Astyanax mexicanus: one gene and its partners. The protein of the gene in region 1 interacts with the protein of each later gene in a pairwise test. Links are inferred from orthologs where the notes say so. Each region holds a gene or a part of one and is shown in the gene's direction. Other genes may lie near its edges.

What was found.
Region 2: the proteins of ythdf1 (region 1) and prrc2b interact in a two-hybrid assay, tested with the Homo sapiens proteins (2 studies listed by BioGRID, with this or other methods). The link is inferred for Astyanax mexicanus from reciprocal best matches to the Homo sapiens genes YTHDF1 and PRRC2B.
Region 3: the proteins of ythdf1 (region 1) and dhx30 interact in a two-hybrid assay, tested with the Homo sapiens proteins (2 studies listed by BioGRID, with this or other methods). The link is inferred for Astyanax mexicanus from reciprocal best matches to the Homo sapiens genes YTHDF1 and DHX30.

What each region holds. Positions count from the first base shown.
Region 1 is NC_064419.1:39,808,161-39,811,921, forward strand, and holds the start of ythdf1 (YTH domain-containing family protein 1), read left to right. Parts: upstream 1-1,027; 5' UTR 1,028-1,394; coding exon 1,395-1,421; intron 1,422-3,761.
Region 2 is NC_064408.1:3,655,804-3,659,564, reverse strand, and holds the start of prrc2b (protein PRRC2B), read left to right. Parts: upstream 1-1,470; 5' UTR 1,471-1,639; intron 1,640-3,761.
Region 3 is NC_064415.1:9,717,694-9,721,454, forward strand, and holds the start of dhx30 (ATP-dependent RNA helicase DHX30), read left to right. Parts: upstream 1-1,144; 5' UTR 1,145-1,159; coding exon 1,160-1,346; intron 1,347-2,980; coding exon 2,981-3,108; intron 3,109-3,729; coding exon 3,730-3,761.

The sequences.
Region 1 (3,761 bases):
AAGTAAAAGAAAAGCAGCAGCTATTGTTCAGCACTTCCAGGAACGCTTCTTCAAGACGCTGAGAAAACTATTCCAGATGACTCTACCTCATGAAGACACTGAGATGCGTACACTCAGCGTGCATTGAGTGTGTGCAGATTTGTCCTTAAAACTAAAATGTGGTAAGAATATATAGACTGTAAAGTATAAAACAAATTCTGGTTTGTTTAACGCTTTTTGTTTACATAATAATTCTGTATGTCTTCCTAGTTGCTTTAATATCTTCAATATTAAATGTACAATGTAAAAAAAGAAAAGGAAAAAAAACACATTAACTGAGAATCAAATCAAATGTATTTGCATAGCGCTTTTTACAACTGATGTTGTCACAAAGCAGTCTTATAGAAGAGGTGTGTCCAATTTTTTCATAATTTCGTAATTTGTAAGTAACATTTGAACATCATGTAGTTTCTTTTTTCAAATGTTTTGTTGCACAGAACACTAATCCAGACCTGTCGTCCATAAGATCATAAACCAGACAATAAAACAATAGCTTAGCCCCGCCCACTGCACTAGAAAAAAATCAGCAACTCAGACATTGGGGCTTTTCAGCACTACAGAAGAAATAAGGCAAAAAATCATGTTTTATCATGTTTAGAATTAAAAAGGTAAGTTAATTGGATTTATTTTAACATAGATGTAATGTTAGGGTATTTATATTTGTTATTATTCTCTTATATGTTATATCTCTTAGTATTTTTTAATTTGTAAAGCACTTTGAATGGCCGGTGCTTTATAAAATAAACTTGTCTTGCTTTGCCTAATATTAGAAATGTTGTGTGCATTACAGAAGGAAAACGGCCTTCATATATTTTTCCATAACTGGGACATAAATTCAGGTCTGAAAGGGTTAATAAATCATTGATAATATTTGAATTATTAGTATTATTACTAAGTTAAACGAGCTGCACAGGGTCAAGTCCAGGAAAGCAGACAGACAGGCCGCGTGGCCACCCGGTCCCCGTGACGTCAGTCCGCTGAGCGCAGATCCCGGATGGAGCAGGGGGGAAGTGAACTGGGCTGCACAATAAACTGAAGGCTGCGAGGAGTAGGAAAAACCTCCTAAAGAGCCTCGCCGCGCATCGGAACCGGACTAAACCCGAGACGCTGGACCTTGTAATAAGCGCAGTAGCGCGCGCGGCCCGGATCGTGGTGTATCTCCGTACCGTGATCGGTGTAATCTGGCCGTGGAAGTTGCTGAGGAATCGCGCCGTGAGGAGAAAACAGCAGCAGCAGCGGCGGCAGCCTGAGCCTGCAGGAGAGACCGAGGGAGGAAACACGGTGTTTGGAGATTCGCTGAACAAGCCGACCGTTTTTTAGACTCTTGGCGATTACAGGGGCTTTGTTGATGAATTATGTCTACCACCAGTATTGACCCTCAGGTAGGCCGCACTGCTGCTCCGTCTGCCGGGGGAACGTGTGATTAGACGCGGCCGCTTCCCGGCTCGAAACGCAGCTGAGGCCTCGCTCGGCTTGAGCTGATAGAAACGGGCGCTGCGCGTCCAGCCCGCTGTTGCTAATAGAGCTAACTAGCTAACATTAGCTACTACAGACTGTTAGCTAACTAGCTAGCTACTACAGAAGAAAATCCTGGAAATATAACTAACCTAACAGCTAGATGGCGAAGCTAGCTAACTTTAGCTTTTTTAAATTGACAACAAACAAACATAGCTAGCTCAGAAAGTACACGATATCAAATGGATAGCAATAATAATGGTGTGCACAACACAGTTAGCTTATATTAACAATACTGATAGCTAACTACATGAATATAAGCTAACCAGCTATTTAGCTAGGTAACTTAACGTACATATTTCACATAAAAATACACACAGCTTTTTAATATGATGATAAATATATATATAGTTATATTTTTCAAAGACAACAAAAAGTGGTATTTTATCTGACAGTGTAATCTACATCTATGTAGTTAGCTAAGTTAACTATGTTGTAATTACAAAACTTGGACATTGTAAAACGTATGAAATGTAGCTAACCAACTAAAGGTTATATATTTTATATAGATTTATATTTTATATAATATCAAATACATAGCTATAATGATTGTGTACAAAATACAATTAGCTTATATCAATAATACCGCTAGCAAACTACATGAATATAAACTAACTAGCTAAGTACATAGTTAAACACCTTTAAAATGCACATATAGCTTTTTGTTTAGTTATCTATAGTTACATTTTTCAGAGACAACAAGTAACCTACATGTGTGTAGGTAGCTAACTAGATTATAACTATAAAACTTAGACATTGTGAGAAGTATGAAATGTAGTTAGTTAACCTAACTAACTTAGCTTAGTTAGCTATTATAGCTGTTGATTATGTAGGTTACGTTATGTGTATCTGTCATTTACCAACCAAATAACCAGACAATATTTGTTCCCAAAATAAGCAATACTTCACTACTGTTCATCAGCCTCATCAGTAACAAAGGCACTTGAATCTTGCCAAAATTGTCTAACAAGCTACCAAGCTTTTTTTAAATTGACAACAAATATAGCTAGCTAGAACACAACATATAATGCATAGCTATAATAATGCGTTTCACAATACAATTAGCTTATATTAATAGTACTTCTAACTACATGAAAATAAGCTAGCTGGTTAGATTAATACATAGTTACACATCTTAAAATACATACACATTTTTTTGTTTTAAAGAGGGCTGTGTTACCTAGCTTGTTTGATATAATGATACACATATCTATGCATATACAGCTATACATATATCTATGCATATACAGCTATGCATATATCTTGCATATACAGCTCTGGAAAGAAATAAGAGACCACTTAAAAATGATGAGTTTCTCTGGAATATAATCAAGAGGAAGATGGATTATCACAAGCAATCAAACCAAGCTGAACTGCTTGAATTTTTGCACCAGGAGTGGCATAAAGTTATCCAAAAGCAGTGAGACTGGTGGAGGAGAACATGCCAAGATGCATGAAAACTGTGATTAAAAACCAGAGTTATTTCACTAAATATTTTTTTCTGAGCTCTTAGCGATTTATAAATATGAACTTGTTTTCTCTGCATTATTTGAGGTCTAAGTTCTGCCTCTTTTTTGTTATTTCAGCCATTTCTCATTTCCTACAAATAAATGCTCTTAATGACAATATTGTTATTATGCTCCAAATGACAATATTGTTATTTGGAAGAAATGTTGTCCATAGTTTATAGTATAAAACAACAATGTTCATTTTACTCAAAGATATACCTATAAATAGCAAAATCAGATAAACTGATTCAGAAACTAAAGTGGTCTTTTTTCCCCCTAGAGCTGTGTGTAGTTTGCTAACTAGGTTTTAACTGTAAAACTTGGACATTGTAAGAACTGTGAAATATAATATGTTAATTAAACTAGCTTAGTTAGTTAGCTTAGCTAATTATCCAACCAAATAACCAGACAGTATGTGTTCCCAAAATAAGCAATACTTCACTAGCTACATTTCATTAGCCTGATCAGTAACAAAGAAACTTAAATCTTGCCAAAATCGTTTAGGTTATCTAACTAATATGTTGATAATCACAAAACAAGCAAATGGGTATCTCTAAGTTAGTTTAGCTTAGCTTTATTACAAGCCAGTTAGCTTGCTTATTGCAAGATTATGTGTATTAGTTTACTAGCTAGTTAGCGGCTACATATCACAAAAAGGTAAAATACTTACTTATTAAGCTGTAGTAGATACGTTTGTAA
Region 2 (3,761 bases), on another chromosome or scaffold:
CCAGTAAGTAAAAGCACAAGGTAGTATAGTAGGTGTTTCTAATAAAGTGGCCACAGTAAGTGGACACATAAGGTAGTATAGCAGGTGTTTCCAATAAAGTGGCCATCAGTGAGTGGAAGTACAAGGTAGTATAGTAGTAGGTGTTTTCAATAAAGTGGCCACAGTGAGTGGAAGCACAAGGTAATATAGTAGATGTTTCCAATAAAGTGGCCAGTGAGTGTGTTAGAAACACATGTTTAGCTCATTATTCAGTAAATATATTTTGTTTAGTGGAGTCCAGCAGAGTTTCTCTTCTCTCTCCATCAGAACCAGCCCTTTCCTGAGGACCACTCATCCCTCTATCCTCTTCACCTCCTCTTCATCACTCCATTCACTCAGGATCTGCAGCAGACAGGATTCATTATATAAAGAAATTATCATTTTAATATCATACAGACTGATTTATTGCAGATGATCCATTCTGCTGCATCATAGCAAATTATTAACATGACATATAAATATAATTCATATTTAATACATAGGTTGTTTAATTTACTGTATAATATTTATTATTATTTTACAGACTCTCACCGGCCACTTTATTAGAAACCATAGTGCTGGATTTGTGCACAAGATTAAAAAACACCATAGCTTGCCAATGGTGCCACCTAGTGGAGCATTAAAGCTAACACATGTAGTTCCCGGCTTTTACAAGCATCTATGGCATCTAGTCGGTCATGTATTTCAGTACATCAAGCAGTGTTTTTATTCTATTTTAATTAGAATACGACTCTATAGAGCAGATACTCAACTCAACCCAACTCAACCCAAACCAACACAACCAAACCCAATCCCAATCAAACCCAATTTAACACAGCTCAACTCAACCCAAACCAATGGAATCAAACCCAACTCAAAACAGCTCAACTCAACCCAAACCAATGCGAACAGACACAACTCAACCCAAACTAACACAATCAAACCCAACTCAACACAGTTCAACTTAACCCAAACCAAACACAATCAAACCCAACTCAACACAGCTCAACTTAACCCAAACCAAACACAATAAAATCCAACTCAACACAACAAACCCAACTGAACACAACAAACCCAGCTAAAACCAACGCAACAAAAAAAACAATTAAACTAACCCCCTAAAAAAACACCAACTCAACACAGCCCAATGAAAAACAACCCAAAAAAAACCCAACCCAACCCAAACCAACCTCAACACAACAAACCCAACTCAACACAGCTCAACTCATCCCAAAGCAATGTAATCAAACCCAGCTCAACCCACCATCAGAGGGTTTGTGGAGTCAAAACATCCCTATCCATCCATCTATCCATACATCTCTATCTATCCATCCATCCATCCATCCATCCACCCAAAAAAAACAGAAAACACTACAAAATGTAATATAAATCACTGCGTGTGTAATACCAGGACGCGCCTGTAGCGGTCGCAGTTTGACACACACTCTCGCCCCAACGTCATATCCGACAGCAGGCCGTGTGTGGCAACACAAGTAAACGGCGAGCAGATTAAAGAAACACAGAATCGGCCGCAGAATCTCCATCCATCCTTCCAGATTCCGCGCGCAGGTGGACTAAATCCGCACCATCGGGCACACACAAGAGTTTCCCCGTTGAATCGGTGAGTTATCGGCGCGGTCCGGGCGAAAATAGTGCCTTTATTTTTAATCTGAATCTCCGCTGCCCCCCTTGACTCGGACTGTGGCTTTGTTCTGGCGCTGCAGCCATTTTTAATCTCCACTGCTTCTTTATGCGCCCCTGTAGCTGAGAGAGGCTGCGGGTTATTCACGTTTCTACGGGTTTAACACACGTATTATGAGTGTGCACAGATTTACAGCACTAGAGAAATGAATCTATTAAGTTATATAGGTGTACAAATTTCGGTGTGAAATTCAGTGTTATAGCATATATGTTATAACCTAAGGTCTGCAGGCTGAGCTCATCTCATCCCTAGTTATTATTTTATTTAATTTTTTGACTTATTACAATAATGGCACATTTTTAACATAAATTAGTATTACATGCTTTGATACCCGTTTTTAGCCTGTAAAAAAACAATGTCCTGCGTTTCTAAGCTTTACAATTCCTTCTAAATGCTTTAACCTGCTTCAATATAGAGATCTGTTCCGATCCAGATCCAGAAAGTAAAAATCCAGCTCCAGGATTTAGTTTCATTTGCCTGGGCGCCTGTGCAGCAGCCGAGCAGCAGCACAACCGCCCAGGCAGTTGAAACAAAATCCTGGAGCTGGATTTTTACCTTCTGGATCTAGATCGACGGATTTCTATTTTCTGGACCTGAATCACCTACTTACAGCTATTTATACACATTTCCTAAACGAATACACCCATTTTAGCTGTTATTCATATTTAGACGCACTTTTAACACCTTTTAAAAACCACATTTGACCATATTACAGCTTTATTTCGACTAGAATCTTAAACGCCAAACCAAAGCGGAAAAATCCGCCTATGCTAAGCTAACCTAAGGTTAGAGATGTTTACCTTTAAAGCTATGCTAAGCTAACTTGTTAAATACGTTTAAATTTGATATAATTCGCTAAAATTCGGCATTTTCGACTTATTATCCTGTGAAAAAATGAATTAAGTATTAACTCAAGTGGTTAAATGTGTGAGAGGATCTGAATATAACACACACAAAACGCTGCAAAGCGAATTTAGCCAATTTAGCCGTTAGCATAACGTTACCGTTTTTTTTCTCCTCAGACGTTTTCTTTAGGTGTAATAAATACCAAAATCTACAATCACATTGAGTTTAAACGTCTATTAGACCTTGAAAATACTTCTCTAATGTCAAAATATCGCTTCGTGGTCTGCTAAAAACGACTGGGCTTTTGAAAAACACAATACTGCAGATGTTTTGTGCTGTTTTATGCTGCTCTCATTGTATTTTAATGTGTAGCAACGTTAAATGAATGAATTCGATTTAAAGATCTGATTAATTAGTTGTGTGAACAAATACGAAATACTGTTTTTTAAAAACAGTTTTAAAAGGTCATTCTGCTCCCTATTTGAAGATGATTTTTTTAAACGGTAATGCTGCTGTGTTGCACACATTGTATTGTATTTTATCGTGCTCAATGTGTGGTAAATGAATGAATTCGATTTAAAATTCTGTTTAATTTAGTTGAGTGAACACAGGAACAATCCTACCTTTTCCCCAGTAAGTAGATGAATGGATGGATTCATTTTAATTCAGATGTTGGCTGCTGCTCATTGTATTTTAGTATATGTGGTAAATGAATTAATTTGATTTAAATATCGGATTAATTCATTCTGTGAACAGAGACAATCCTATTTATCAGGTTTAAGAAATCATTCTGCTCCCTATATGTAAAGAGGATGTATTTTGGCTTTAAAATTATAATGCTGATGCCTTATGCTGACCTTATACCTAACATTTTCTTTAAGTTTAATAAAAAACAAAATCTAGCTACACCAGGTTTAAACCTTTATTAGATAAAAACAAAATCTAGCTACACCAAGTTTAAACCTTTATTAGATCTTGAAATTACTTATATAATGTTAAAATGTTGTGTTGTGGTCTTCTAAAAACAGCTGGGTTTTTGAAAACCACACAATAACGCAGATGTTTTGTGATTTTTTTTTTGTTTGTTTTATGCTGCTCCCATTGTGTTTTAGTGTGTGGTGAATGATTGAATGAATTTAAAGATCTAATTAATTAGTTGTGTGTGAACACAAAGGCAGTCGTGCTCGCTACCTAA
Region 3 (3,761 bases), on another chromosome or scaffold:
TTTATTTATTTATTTTTTAAAACATGTTTTCTCACAATACTCTCTACTTGGGACATGTCAGGACCTGTATCCTCTTCTGGCACAGCCATGCATTTGTGTGGAAGCCCATTTCCGCCACCTAAAATAAACACAGTTTATTTTTTTTCCCCATTATTAAGTTAATTATTTTGGGTCATCATTTTGAGATGCTTAAATCATTAAAAGAAATAGCGGGATTCAAATAAAAAATGAAAAGCTTTTAACCCCTTTGAAATGCCTTTAATGTCCCATATAAAATAACTTATTTACATTCTGAAAATTTGAGGGCTTTGAAATCTCCTACAGGACACTTTGAGAAGCTGCCTGTTTTCTCTCTACTCCACTTAATAAATTAATAATTCCAGATAAGAAACAGGAATCAACCCAAATTCTGCATGTTTGAAAATAGACGTAAAAACTAGACACACATAATGTAACTAAAGGTTTGTAGGAAATTAACTGTTTGGTTTGTATTCAGGAATATATTAAGCTAAAATAAAGTTCAGGAAAAAACAATTTATTATTTTATTCTTTTTTTATATATATATATAATTTTCTATTACAATTACAATTAGGCTTTTCTGTAATGTTTCTTATCAAACATAAAAGCTTTTTTATGCAATGGTTGAGTAGAAACCCCTCAAGATTTAGTGGTGAAATGTCAGACAGACAGTTGACAAAAATCCTGCTGTGTTAGAGGGTTAAATTATCAGTGGTTTGACACATTTTTGTTTTTGAAAAATGTACCAGAAGTGTATGTAATGTGCAGTTGTTTTTGTTATTGAGTTGTATTTTTTCTATCTATCTATCGTCTGTCTGTCTGTCTGTCTGTCTGTCTGTCTGTCTGTCTGTCTGTTTATTTGTCTGCCTATCTGTCTATTTATTTGTCTGCCTATTTGTCTATTTATCTGTCTGTCTGTTTATTTGTCTGCCTATCTGTCTATTTATTTGTCTGTCTGTCTGTTTATTTGTCTGTTTATTTGTCTGCCTGTCTGCCTATCTGTCTGTCTGTCTGTCTGTCTGGCCTGCTGGAGCTGTAGTTGATCAGTCAGGCCGGTAGGGGGCTGCAGTGCTGCTGTAGTGTTGCTGCTGAACGTGCGCGCTCGTGCGCGTGTGCGCCTGCGCGTGTGTATCGGTAAAGATGGCGGCGCACTGTACCGGTATCATGCGTGTCCGCGGGCTGTGTAAGATACTGTCCCTCAGCACGGGAGAGCCCGCGGGCCGGGCCGGGTCCGGCTGGAGCTGGAGGTGGGCGAGCAGATACAGAACCAGAGCAGGGGAACGAGGAGATCCGGAGACTGAGAGCTCCACAGGAGGAGGAGAAGGAGGTACCAGCTTAACCATTTCATAACTGACCTGCAGAACTACAACACACACACACACTGGGGTCATACACACCAGTAACATTACATTACACCACAGTTTACACTGATTACACTGATTAAAATGGGTTATCAGTAGAGGATATGTGTTTATTTAAGTTCTTTTAAGAAGGTTTAGCTTTTTAATCTGCAAGCATAACCAACAGGGTTAGGCCACCAACTGGGTTAGCAGGGCCAAGTTTGACCTTACTGGTTAATCAGCTTGACCAAGCCAAGTGTCACCAAAACAGTTTACTAGACCGTTCATAATAATCACTTTACCAACGTATCCTATGATATATGGGCATGACCTAGCGAACTGAAGCTGTGTTTTTTTGCTTGTTAGCATTATTGATAACTGGTTTTCTTAGGGCTACACAGCAATTTAATCCCAATCCCTTGAGTTCCCTTTACTGCATTGTGCCCTTTGGGGAAAGCTCTTACTTTCACCTTTAAACATTTACTTGAGTTTTAGTGTTGTTCACCTTCTTTCAGATTTTTTTTTTTAATTACGACCACATTCCTTCCTAAAATACCATGTTCCCCCACTGTCGTTCTATTTTTTTTAATAATGACAGCTGAGAGTTTTAACCTAATTTTAATAGTTTTAGCAATCTGCTTGATTTTTTTGGAAAAACATGTCATCTGCTGGTGTTGATCCACTGTGTTTTATTATCAAGTCTAAAGTCAGTGCAGTTTTGTTTTCCCACAAACTTTCCCACAACTTTTATGGGGATGTGGATTTCATTTTCCAGCAGGACTTGGCACACCACTGCCCACACTGCCAAAAGTACCAATTGGTCTTATAATATAATATTCTAATTGTCTAAGATAATGATTCTTGGGTTTTCATTGGCTGTAAGCCATAAACATCAACAATAAAAGAAATAAACACTTAAAATGGATCACTCTGTGTTTAATATATATAATATATATATATATATATATATATATATATATATATATATATATATATATATATATATATATATATATATATATATAATGAGTTTCACATTTCGAACGGAATTACTTGCCTTTTTTACCGAATTTACTTGCTTTTGGATAACTTTCTACCACTCCTGGTATATAGGCCTGTCACAATAATTGCAATATCGATTTATCGTACAATAAATTAAAATGACCTCAATAATTTTTGATAATCATGATATCGTCTGTTGTGTTTTTTTTTTTTGTATGTTTGTTCACATATATTACAGTAAACAGTATTTTAGCCAGTCATGCTTCAATAACCGTGACTCCATAACATACACACAGTGTGGACTAAAGTAGGTGAAGAAATAAGTATATAATTCCCAAACTAATTATAATAAATGATTATTGATTTTTTTTGTTGCCCTTAAAAAGTGTATAATTTATTTTTTATGCTTTTCTGTTATCATTATGTTAGTGGAATTTAATAATCTTAAAATTACAAAAATATATGTATCGCAATCATTTCTGTGACAATATATCGCCCGCAAAAATTCTTAGCATGACGGGCCTACTGGTATATTGAAGGTATAAAACACTTTATGTGTACACTACAGTATGACAGACATTGATCATCACTAATAATTCTATGATTTTTTGATCCCCAGGTCAGTCTGATCTCCTGCTGGAGTTCCCCAAACCAAAGCAACTGCTCCACACCACGCTGAGTAGATCACTGAAGTCCTCTGATATGGCGAAGTTCATTCGCTACAGCTGCACTGATGGGGAGGTTAAGGTACAGTGCCTGGTTTATATACTGCCTTCATGCTAAGAATGTTTTTACACACATTTGTAGTACACTTCATTCAGATACAGAACGGTCAATACAGCCTAGTGCTGGGCGATATGGGAAAATATATCATGTATATCACGATATAGACTTTTTTTTATATTACGATAACGATATATAATATTATGATATACCACATTTACGTATGTTTTCAGTTATTCTTCGAATAATTTGACAAAATAATATCCTTGCTTACTTTTTTCTATAAGCTGTAAATAGTTGTTTATACATCTCTAATACATAATAAATACAAAAAGAGATTTACATATTTGTTAGTATTTAGTTAGTAATAGTATTTGCCTGTACAGACGCCTGCACCCTTAATAAATCTGTTGTGTCTGTATCTTTTCTCAGATACATTTATTTAGTTATTTTTCAAGTTTGCTTGTTTCTGATTGTGTTTGAAAGAAGAATGTGATTTTTTTTTTTTTTTTGTATTCATCTTCACAGCCAATTCATAAAGTCACTGAACAAAATGTATCATAAAAAAATAGAAATCATTATTTTATTTAAACAGAAATATATTCTATTTCACCCAATTTCTCATTGTTCTTATTTTTTTAATAGAGGGCAACAGTCACATTGCTCTGGCCTCAGAA